2 linked regions of the Arabidopsis thaliana genome follow. The protein of the gene in region 1 purifies or fractionates together with the protein of each later gene. This does not show direct contact. Each region holds a gene or a part of one and is shown on either strand. Other genes may lie near its edges. The genes, in order: AT1G67280 and AT5G66530.

The links.
Region 2: the proteins of AT1G67280 (region 1) and AT5G66530 fractionate together in Arabidopsis thaliana (co-fractionation; one large-scale study listed by BioGRID). This does not show direct contact.

Annotation. Positions count from the first base shown.
Region 1 is NC_003070.9:25,187,443-25,192,224, forward strand, and holds AT1G67280 (Glyoxalase/Bleomycin resistance protein/Dioxygenase superfamily protein), read right to left. Parts: upstream 3,253-4,782; 5' UTR 3,106-3,252; coding exon 2,991-3,105; intron 2,842-2,990; coding exon 2,646-2,841; intron 2,556-2,645; coding exon 2,431-2,555; intron 2,291-2,430; coding exon 2,226-2,290; intron 2,104-2,225; coding exon 1,891-2,103; intron 1,757-1,890; coding exon 1,709-1,756; intron 1,594-1,708; coding exon 1,486-1,593; intron 1,391-1,485; coding exon 1,250-1,390; intron 1,163-1,249; coding exon 1,121-1,162; 3' UTR 796-1,120; downstream 1-795. Other genes in the region: GLOX1 (glyoxal oxidase-related protein), read right to left, coding at 3,726-4,782. UniProt on the Arabidopsis thaliana protein: Catalyzes the conversion of hemimercaptal, formed from methylglyoxal and glutathione, to S-lactoylglutathione.
Region 2 is NC_003076.8:26,551,137-26,557,997, reverse strand, and holds AT5G66530 (Galactose mutarotase-like superfamily protein), read left to right. Parts: upstream 1-2,111; 5' UTR 2,112-2,422; coding exon 2,423-2,490; intron 2,491-2,550; exon of another isoform or gene 2,551-2,595; coding exon 2,596-2,694; intron 2,695-2,777; coding exon 2,778-2,891; intron 2,892-2,988; coding exon 2,989-3,040; intron 3,041-3,131; coding exon 3,132-3,269; intron 3,270-3,344; coding exon 3,345-3,443; intron 3,444-3,547; coding exon 3,548-3,645; intron 3,646-3,742; coding exon 3,743-3,850; intron 3,851-3,940; coding exon 3,941-4,022; intron 4,023-4,111; coding exon 4,112-4,177; 3' UTR 4,178-4,256; coding exon of another isoform or gene 4,257-6,119; 3' UTR 6,120-6,208; downstream 6,209-6,861. Other genes in the region: AT5G66540 (U3 small nucleolar ribonucleoprotein), read left to right, coding at 13-150, 234-302, 394-435, 530-598, 713-784, 880-930, 1,027-1,168, 1,287-1,345; AT5G66520 (Tetratricopeptide repeat (TPR)-like superfamily protein), read right to left, coding at 4,257-6,119; GAMMA CA3 (gamma carbonic anhydrase 3), read left to right, coding at 6,502-6,616.

The sequences.
Region 1 (4,782 bases):
AGATGATATACATTTATCCAATGATTTTTTTGAAATCTTTTATATGAAATTTAGATAAAGTTTTTTATACTAAATTTGAATTATGTTATATTTTCATTGGAAAAATCAGGAGTCAAAACATAAATATCAAGCAATCAAACTAATAATAATATAAAAGGATTAACAGTATTCAATAATAAGACAACCAAAAACATATGCAAATATTTAAAAAATCATAAATAAAATCGACTGAATATAAAATATCTTAAAAACTGTTATTAGCACATACCTTTTGCAAAATAATTCAACTGAATGTTAGGTTTCTTCATTGATGCGATAAAAAAAATCTAAACTTTCTTTATGATATGTGTTTTCGCTATATTGTTATAAAAACAATACGGCGGATATAAATACATAAAGCTGTGAATATGATCTTTTTATAGAACAAGAATGTTAACCTAGACGACATAAAAATTGAAACATGTCAAACGATGTCGAATAGATTAGTATAGTCGATGTCGTTTGGCATATTTTAATTTTATGTTGTTTAGGTTAACTTCTAGTTTTATAAAATCGTATACAAGTTTATCTAACGCTAATCCTTTAGTATATTATACGATGTCGTTTGACATGTTTCAATCTTTGCTTCGTCTAAGGTAATTTTTTGTTCAGCAAAAGATTATCTAATTCACAAATTTTTTGTATCACTAAAATCTAGCCCGTTTAATCTACACATACATATTTTTTTGTAAATAAAATCCCGAATTAAACAAAATTAAGAAGAAAAAGAAATGACATTCAAGAATTGATGTCAAGCTTCGATGTTTTCTAGTGTAAGGATCCTCATAACTTGGACTAGGCATAAGATTTTTTCTTGAATATCATTCACTTATCATCTTATTTATTGGCAATTAATGTTAAGTGGAACTAATATACAAAGACGCAACATAGGCTTTTATACTGTAAATTAAACAACTACACTATATTCTGAAAAACAAATCATTCACTTTGATAAAAATATTCAGCACTGAGAGAGATTATATCAAACCCCAAACTGATGTAATTCACAACAAGGCCTCTCCTCCTGTCTCCCTCATAAGCCATTTTCGTGCATTTGTTGCCTCTCTTCTGCTTTCTCCTCTCACTCCAGTTCTTTGAGAAAGTCAATGTTGTCCACAAATACCTGTAAAGCCAAAAGTCGAAACTCAAAACGAGACATTCAGAGCTCTTTGCATCAATATGAATCTATCTCTACACACCAATATCTTACCGATTTCCAACCATCAGGATCCAGACACGCGGTGATCTTCGTGCTAATACCTGGTAAGGGACCAGGCTCCCTCGTGATTTTTCCCCCAAAGAGTTTTATAGCTTCTGCAGTTTTGTACACATCATCCGTCCCTATTGCTATCTGATAGTAATCAAATACAAGCAAACAAGTTAAAACTATCGCAACCCTCCAGTTGAAAAGTAATATAGACGAACGGAATGTCAATTTTCTTTTACCTGAGCATAAGCATTTCCTTTATCATATTCAGTGACACCATAGTTATATGTCAGCTCTAGGACAGGAAATTTATCTTCTGGACCATATCCCATCATGGCTATTGTGTACTGCAAATAACCACTTACGGTAAGTGAGTTTATACAAAAACATATAACCGATATATACAATGGAAGGTTAAGGCCGCATAAGTAAGAATTAGATTTGTGAGGCATTGCAAATTACCTTGTACTCTGGGTTGTCTCTTGTTCGCAGAAGTTCCATTCCAAAAGCCTATAAAGAAAGGAAGCACACATGATCAGAGGATAAGAATGCATTCTGATAAAAGAGATAGAAACTATATCAGATCAAACATTTACTGTCAGGCTGCAAACTACCACATCTCAAAACAATTTCATAGGAATCACCTTCTCATAGAACTTTATGGCCCTATCGAGATCACCAACACGGAGCATAACTTGGCAAAGAGGTTCTGGTGTAGGACCTCTTTCCAAGAGTTCAAATTTGTAACCATCAGGATCTTCAATGAATGCTATTACAGTTTTGCCACCTTTGACAGGACCAGGCTCCCGGCTTACTTTTCCCCCTTTGGCTTTCACAAGCTCTACAGTTTTCGCCACCTTTTGGAAAGAAATTTTCACTTCTTAGATATAAAACCATTAAGTGGAAAGAGTAAAATCCATACACATCAAACACTGTTTCAAAGAAAGAACATAATTGCATATAGATTGTAGAAGCTCACATCATCGACCGCAATACCAAAGTGACCAAAACCAGCCCCAATGTCATACTTGTCAACTCCATAATCTGTAAAAAAAATTACACTAAGAAAGCTAAGCCAACCATATAAATATAAAATGCATAGTCTTGAGCTCCCTAGAGCTAAATGAACTACAATACTCAGAGTCTTGGCAGTAGCATAAAAGGGGGATACAGATATAACTTACTATAAGTAAGCTCAATCACAAAGTGTGAATCTTCCGGTCCATAACCAAGGAAAGCATTAGTATACTTCTCTTCTGGTATATCACGCTTACGTAGAAGCTTCATCCCAAGACATTCAGTATAAAACCTACAGCAATCAGATGATTCTTTTAAACTTAATGTGACTTTAAGAGACTCAACATCAAAGCCATATCACAGGAAAGCCAAAGTGAAGTACTTTATCGTCCGGTCCATATCGCCAACACGATAAACAACATGAAGCATTCTTCTCTTATCATTCTTAACCCAGGTGAGAAGATCATCTTGTGTAGTAGCTTGAGCTGCTTTACCAGATTCAGCAACTCCTAAACAGTTTACACTTCTTCTCAAAAGCTTATGAGAAGTTAAACCAAAAAGCTGTGATTGAGGAACATCTGCAACAACACAAATTGAACAAGAATCATAAACCAGAAATTTGGGAACTTTAAAACAACCCTAGTTCTAGAATTCACTAATCAATTGGAGAATGATTGTATCTATATTGTGTAGTCAACGATATATGTGAAAGGAGGAGGATGATTACGGAGAGTGCGAGAGAGATTTCTGGAGAGGAGGGAGATGGGGAAGCGAGGAGAATCAGAGAAGCAGGCGAGGGAAGGTCGAATGGAGGAAGCAGCCATAGGAATGATCCTCACCATCTTCTTCCTCGAGATTCAGAGCTCTCTGCGTGTGTTGATGAATGATTCGTCAAGCGGTGGCTACTTTTCCTCCGTCGGAGATTAAGTGACGACAACGGTAGAGACTAGAGATAAAGCTTTTTTATTCTTTTTTATTTTGGAGATTCATTAAAAAAACAAAACAAAAAAACAAAAACAAAAAATTGAACGATTCGTGATATTTAGACATAATTATTATTAGTTAAATGATTAATTAGTTAATTACTGCCTTATTGGAACTTATATATTTAGATTTTGTATTGTAATGTTAAAATGAAATGAATTTTTTCTTACTTACAAAAAATAAAAAATGGAATCGATGTTGGAAAATAAATGTCATAAGTAACACTATTTATTAATAAAGGACTACAAGACTGTTGAAAAAATATAAAATAATAAATAACCATTCTATATAGTGATTTCATTATGACAATTTTCTCCAATTTGTTATATCTATCAAAAAAACATTTATTCAAAAAATATAATAATTACAAGAATCAAAGAATATATACATGTAAGTATAAAGAAAAAAAATTAACCTTACAAACATGTTATATAGGTTTCGTTTCAAAAAATAAATTGATAATATATGCATATCAAAATTAGACAATCTGAATCCATTCTCCAACGCTAGGGACACCATTGTAGACGGCAAAGAGAAGATAATAACCAGGAGGAGCAAGTTTTCCACTAGGAGGAGCAACGGCTTGGATTTGATGATTATCGCCACCAACATTCTTCACATTGTTAATACCCAACATAAGCAACCTCATGTTCATTGATACACTATGTGTAGTAAATGATGGTGCCAACATTGTCACCATTACATTCTCCTTTGCTACGTTTTGTTGTTTAAGCTCGATCTTTACGTCAAACATTTGTCCATACTTAATCTGTTTTGGTGTTGCGGTGTTTACGATTCTTGGTCTCATATTGGCTAGAGCTGGATCAAGGTAAGGTGGTGAGAATTTCTCGATGCGGAGTTCGGTTGGGTACTCAACGTTGAATTGGTATCCGTTGTTGGTGTTGCTTCCACCGACGAGAACTTTACCATCAGGAAGAGCGATTGCGATGGAATGGTACACACGAGGGATAGTGGAAGGAGCGAGTTCTTTGAAACGTTGGCCTAAAGGTTTGTTAGGTTTGTACAAGAGTGGAGCAAAATTTGGTTCTTTGGCTAAGTGCCAACCAGAGGAGCCACGTTTTGCACCATTAATGATAAGAATTTCTCCATTAGGAAGGATCACAGTATCACTCATCACACGTGACGTTGGCATGGTCTCTGTTTTCCATACAGGCTTAGCACTATTGATGTTTAACCTTGCACAATCTTTCAAGGCCCAATCGTAAATCTTTAACCTCTCTGCACGGAAGTAAGCGTCTTGTTTTGCACCACCGCAAACTAGGACATCAGCGGGGATGATAGCGGGGTTTTGGACGTAGAGGCGGATGGGGAGAAGAGCCGAGGAGGCGGAACCAGGGTAGTTACGGGCACCACCGGGAAGTTGAGGGAACTCTTTGAGCACTTTGTTTGTTTTCGGGCTAAGAAGAATGGATCGGTTGTTGGCGAAAATGAAGAGGTTACCATCAGTGTTAAGCCAAACAAAAGGGTAAAGATTGTTTTCTTCTGGATCATCTGTTTGTCTAAGAAGTTGTGAG
Region 2 (6,861 bases), on another chromosome or scaffold:
ACTTGTTGTAAGATAACTGCGGCAAAGAGGCCAATGAATAGTGCTCTAGAAGTTGATTTAGATTTTGAGCACAATGCCAGGCCTGCTCCTGTAATCACAGAAGAAGTCACAGCCTCACTTGAAGATTTGATCAAGAGCAGAATCATTGAGGTAACTACTTGTGGCAGTAATTTGTAACAAAGGTCTCCCTTGTTTCTTCCTGGTTTTGCATGACTGATCTTTTTACTCTTTAGGCTCGTTTCGATGATGTTCAACGAGCACCTCGTCTACCCACTAAAGGAAAAAGAGAAGCCAAGGAATTGGTGAGTTTTATTGAAGAACTATTACTTCTATCCTCTTTTCTTGCTCTGGTGTAATAGTTACAATTGATTTGTTACTTTTGGGTATATGCAGGACGAAAGCAAAAGCAAGAAAGGTCTTGCCGAAGTTTACGAGGTTTGTATCATGTACAATATTTGATTGTGTTATTGCATTTTTTGTGAGATAACCAAACTTACATATGTGTTTTGGTCCATTTGGTTATTTGTAGGCAGAATACTTTCAGAAGGCTAATCCAGCTTTTGCCCCAACAACTCACTCTGATGAACTAAAGAAAGAGGTTCCAACTTGATTTGATACTTATTTTTCCTGGGTTTTTGTGTTTGCATATTTATCTTCTCCTTTCATTGTTAGTGTATATATCACATTCTCTTACTTATAAACGTTAAATCAGGCAAGCATGTTGTTCAAGAAACTATGCCTGAAGTTGGATGCTCTCTCCCACTTCCACTTCACACCTAAACCAGTATGTTTCTTGCTTAGATCCTAAATGATGATCACCTCAAGTGTCTAGACATAGCTGTTCTGGACTGAAACTTTTTATTTTCTCCAAACTTTCAGGTGATTGAAGAAATGTCTATACCAAACGTTTCAGCCATAGCAATGGAAGAGGTAATTCTAAGCCCTTTCCTTTTTTTTGTTTGTTTGTTTGGTAATTGGGATTGGAGACCATTATACTTATCAACTTGTTCCATGTGTACTGTGTAGGTTGCGCCCGTGGCCGTCTCAGATGCAGCAATGCTTGCCCCAGAGGAAATATTTTCCGGGAAAGGTGACATTAAGGATGAGTCTGAGCTCACACAGGAAGATAGAAAGAGGAGGAGAGCGAATAAGAAGAGAAAGTTTAAGGGTAAGGAAGTGAATAACAAAAAGAATATATACTCAATTGGTAAAAAATACAAAATCTGAGTGCATCATGTTGCATTTTAGACGCATAATAACCTCTTTGCTTTTCACTTGTGAAACAGCTGAATCTGCAAATGAACCGCCTAAAAAGGCGCTGGATACAAGTACCAAGAACCCTTAAACTGGTATTTTCTGTGCTCTTACATGACTGACTATAGATTCAAAAAGCATCAAAAAATTAAACGTTGCTTACTTTTGTGAAGTTACATGTTGAAGAAAGGAGAGAGTTACAGAGGCAAATTCAAGATGATAAGATCTCGGTCAAGAGCATTGCTACACAGACAGCTTGAAGATTAGATAAAACAACAGTTTTGAATGAGAGAAATATTTAAACTTTGTCTTTCACAAATTTGAATTTTATTGTATTTTTTTCTCTTTGTATGAGTAGTTCCATTTTCCTTGTATCGATAGAAAAATTCCAAAGAAATCTTAAAAGAACAAAAATGTGCAAAATTCTTAACACCAACATGAATCCTAATGGTAAGATTGAATTTGATATGTTAGCTACAACTAATGAGGCACACCCGTAAGATAATGAAAGAGCAGCAGCAGCATACATTACCTTTCCGAGTCCAGCATGATTCCTCCTTTTAAGTGTAACCACTCTATAGTCTTTCGATTGGGCTAAAAGCCTCAAAGAAGTGAAATAGTAAAAAGGTAATAGATAGAACAAATAAGCTGGAGTAGCTCAGTTGGTTAGAGCGTGTGGCTGTTAACCACAAGGTCAGAGGTTCGACCCCTCTCTCTAGCGTTATGCACTAATTTTTAATAAGCCCATTAGTAATATTGGACCTGGTGGAATGTATTGAACAGCCCATACCCTTCTTTGTAGATATTATTGATAAGTTAGTCGGACTTAAGAAGGATATTCGTAATCCATAAACGATATTATTCTCAAGTTAGTGGTCAACGTTAAACTTTGGGTCCCGACCGCCATTTGAAGAGCCGGTTTCTCCATCGTCGTCACTCGTCATTCGTTTGTTTGTCTCTTCCGGATAGATATATAAATAAAAATGTCCGATATTTTTTTAAAAAATTACATTAGTTTTGCTGCGTTTAGTATTCAATTTCATCGACCCAAATCAAAATCTCTATTCAATCCTTTTCCTTCTTCTTGTTGCCCTAGTACGAGAGGACCGGGAAGGACGCAATATATAGGATACTAGATAGAGAGTGACTGAAGGAGAGAAAAACAAAAATGGCGATTGTTTCCGTCTCTAACTCTTTTCTCACTTTCAATTCTCCCAATCAGCTCCGATTTAGCCGGTAATATTCTTACTGCATTTTGTTTTTTTTCTTTTGGTTTCGCTTCTAATGTCTCTACCTTGCATTTGATCCACACAAAAAAAAACTCGATCTTGGATATTGCAGAAGAAGATTCTCTGCCATGGCTTCTTCAACTACTGGAGTGAGAGTCGCTGAAGGAGAAGGCAATTTGCCAAAACTTGTCCTTACTTCTCCTCAGAACAGGTATCAAAAACTATTGACCATCTCATACTAAGTAAGTCAGGTTCAGCTTTATGTCATCTGGGTTGATTTATAATTGGATGCAGCGAGGCTGAGATATATCTCTTCGGAGGCTGCATTACTTCTTGGAAAGTTGCGAGCGGTAAAGATCTTCTTTTTGTCAGACCAGATGCTGTCTTCAATAAGATTAAGCCCATTAGGTATGTGTGTGTGAACTTCAACAATTGTTGTTAAACCAGATAAAATTGTGAGTAATGTCTTTTCTTTTTTTCGTCATACTGTTTGTTATTGGATTAGCGGAGGGATTCCACATTGTTTTCCACAGTTTGGACCTGGGCTAATTCAACAGGTACTCTCATTTACTGTTTCCTCGCTTGATCAAATCTCTTTTTAGTTGTTTATGCTTATTTGGTGGTCTTGAACCATTTTGGAATCATTAGCATGGGTTTGGAAGGAACATGGACTGGTCTGTTGTCGATTCCCAGAATGCAGATGACAATGCTGCTGTTACTCTTGAGCTTAAGGATGGTCCCTATAGTCGAGCCATGTGGGACTTTGCTTTCCAGGCTCTATACAAGGTGTGTGTCATGCCTTTCACTAATGGCATTCTTGTATGTTATAGTATTTCATAACAGTTTGTGTTGATACTTTAGGTCATTGTTGGCGCGGACTCCCTTTCCACTGAGCTAAAGATTACAAACACAGACGATAAACCATTTTCTTTCAGCACTGCGTTGCATACTTACTTCCGTGTAGGTCCACTAAATCATTTTCCTATGATTTGATACTATGGCTTGCAAATTGAGTCCATGTTATCAACTTTTTCTTCTAATATTTTTTTTTTTGGGTTCATCAGGCTTCTTCTGCGGGGGCCTCCGTGAGAGGTCTAAAGGGTTGTAAAACTCTCAATAAGGATCCAGACCCTAAGAACCCAATAGAGGGTAAAGAAGACAGGTTGGTTTGGTATTTGTTTTTCTTCATTAACTACAGATCTTATTTATTTTATTTCACTTGTTTCATGGTTGTAACTCCTTAATTTCTAACATTTCAGGGATGCAGTCACTTTTCCTGGATTTGTGGATACCGTCTATCTTGATGCTCCCAATGAATTGCAGTTTGATAATGGCTTGGGTGATAAAATAATCATCAAAAACACAAAGTACATTTACTGAGACACTTATATGGCTTTCTACAGGGTCTATGTTTCGTTCTGTGCCTCATGAGTACTACTTGTTTTTGAAAAATGCAGTTGGTCGGATGCGGTCTTGTGGAACCCGCATACTCAGATGGAGGCTTGTTACAGAGACTTTGTGTGCGTGGAAAATGCAAAGGTATATCAGTTTACACTTAAGTCTTTCCTCTTTACAAAACTTATAGACTCAAAAGTTTATAACTCTTCCTTGTCATTTTTAATTCTCAGCTTGGGGATGTCAAGCTAGAGCCGGGACAGTCTTGGACTGCAACACAACTTCTCAGCATCAGTTGAAAACATTGTACTTTAAACTTATAATGTCCAGTGGATCCATTTTCTTAAGCAATAAAAGTTTTATTTCCTCTCCCAAATTTTACCAGTAGTCCCCACAACTGCATTTCCCATCTCTGAAATGATGGAACCTTGTCCTATCTCTCATTACAATATCCCTCTTGTATATCTTAGAGATGAGCTTCGTTACTTTGTGACAATCTTTGCATACTCGGAGATTCTTCATTATACGAATAATGGTTCCTGGTTTAGTCTTGATTAACCCGTATGTAATAGCCAATTTCTCGCTATGCTGATGCACAATAGCCTCTCTTTCATCATCATCAACTAGATCAAGCAGCATCTCTTCTAACTCTGGTACGTACCCGTTTTCCTCAAGTTTCCTTCTCATGATTCTCCATTTAGATTGAATTTTCTCTATCTCTGGGTGTGATCGGTCTCCCGCTAAAAACTCGTGTGTGGTCCCTTCCAAGCTAATTGTACTACATCCTGGAACTTTTGCTACTCCTTGTTCTTTCATCAATCTTCTTGTTTCAGCTGCTTTGTCCCACTTTTTATCCATAGCATGAATATTTGCCTTATGAACATATCTTCCGCCATGATATGGATCTATTGCAATTAAGATTTCTCCAATTTCCTCTCCCAATTCGATGTTTTTGTGAATTCGACAGGCTTTGAGCAACGCACCCCATATCACAGCATTTGGCTTCAATGGCATCTCCTGAATGAAACGTTTTGCTTCATCAAGCAATCCAGCTCGACCGAGTAAATCAACAATACAGCCATAATGCTCGATGGTCGGTTTCAGGTTGTAATCTCTCTCCATGCTGTAGAATATCAACTTTCCTTCTTCAACTAGTCCTGTGTAGCTGCAAGCCGTGAGAACCGCAGTGAAAGTGATCACATTTGGCTTAATTCCCATCTTTTGCATCTCCATGAATTTGCTAATAGCTTCTCTTCCATGGCCATGGTATGCATATCCTGAAATCAAAGCTGTCCATGCTTGCACTGATTTTTTCTTAATATTCTTGAAAACTTCCAAAGCTTCTTCCATTTCACCGCACTTTGCATACATATCTATAAGAACACAACCCAAAACAGAGTCCATTCTGATTCTTGTCTTATTAAGATAGGAATGGATCCATTTCCCTTGCTCGAGTGCTCCGAGCTGAGCACAAGCTGAGAGAGCATTAGCTAGGGAAACATTATCAGGCTCAACATCTGAATTCTGCATTTCATGAAACAATTGCAGAGCTTCCTTGTTCATGTCTGCTTGAACATACCCAGAGATCATCGTAGTCCATGATATAGCATTCTTTTCTGCCATTTTCCTGAATAACGTTAATGCAATATCCATTTTTCCAGCTTTTACATAACCTTTGATCACAGAGTTCCACGAGACATCATCAGGTTCGGGGATTCTGTCAAAGAGAAGGTGAGCTAGCTTGAAATTCCCGGTCACAGCATATGAATTAATCAGAGAATTCACTGCATAGACATCATTTTCATATCCAAGTTTCGTGATCTGTGCGTGAATTTGCGTTGTTTCTTCAAATGCAGATAGGTTCGAACAAGCTTTGAGAAGAGACGGAAAAGTATACGCGTTATGAGGAGCTGAAGAACAGAGCATACGTTGATACAGGAGAAGAGACCTCTCGGGTTCGTCTGAGCACGAGAACCCTCTGATCATTAGGTTCCACAAGAAAGTATCTGGTCGATCAAACCCGTCAAACACAATCTGGGCATAAGGCAAAAAGTCGGAAGACGTTGAAGAAATGCAGAAAGAAAGAAACTTTGTGATTGCATAAGAATCCTGCATCAAGCCAGTTTTCAGCATGCGAGCGTGGATTTGCTTCAGTTCTTCTTGCTTTGAGCATCTCTGGAGACAAGACATTGTCTCGTAGAGATTATGTTCCAATGAGAAGGAGCATGAGATCACATTCATTGTAGTTCATTCGATAAAACAGAGAGACCTCTTGAGAGATAAGGTTCTTCTTTGGTTGATGTTGATGATAACTATATTCTCAATTCTCAGTGGACGCCAAAGTGTGTGCCGTTTGTTCGAGACTTAAAAGGATAAAGTGACGTGGCGAAGAATTACCATAATCACCATAAATTTACCTCCTAATTTTACCAACAGCAACCTGAAATAACATGAACCGGATAATAACGGTCCGACCGAAAATTGAGCACAAAACCAACAAATGGGGATGAGTCGTCAAAGACTGCACTCTCTCCTCTTCCTCTGGCTCCGGCGAAAAACCCCTTTTCGATTTCATTGATAAAACGCAAATCGATCTCTCGTGTGGAAGAAGAAGAAGAACACGATGGGAACAATGGGTAAAGCATTCTACAGCGTAGGATTCTGGATCCGTGAAACTGGTCAAGCACTTGATCGGCTCGGTTGTCGCCTCCAAGGGAAAAATCATTTCCGAGAACAGCGTATGTCTTTTGGATCGCCTTGTCTTCTCTTAGTTCCATTCGAATCCTGGTGATGATTTTTTTTTGTTTCATTACTCGTCGGGTCTTCGAAATGTTTGTGTATTTCTCTGGAATCAGGTCATAGTTTTGATTGATGCGTTTCCTCTTATGTTGATGATTGATTATGGCATTTTTGATTAGAAACCTTAGAGCTTAAGATCAAATGTTCTTCATTTTGCTAGTGACGGTATCCATTTCTGTGGTTG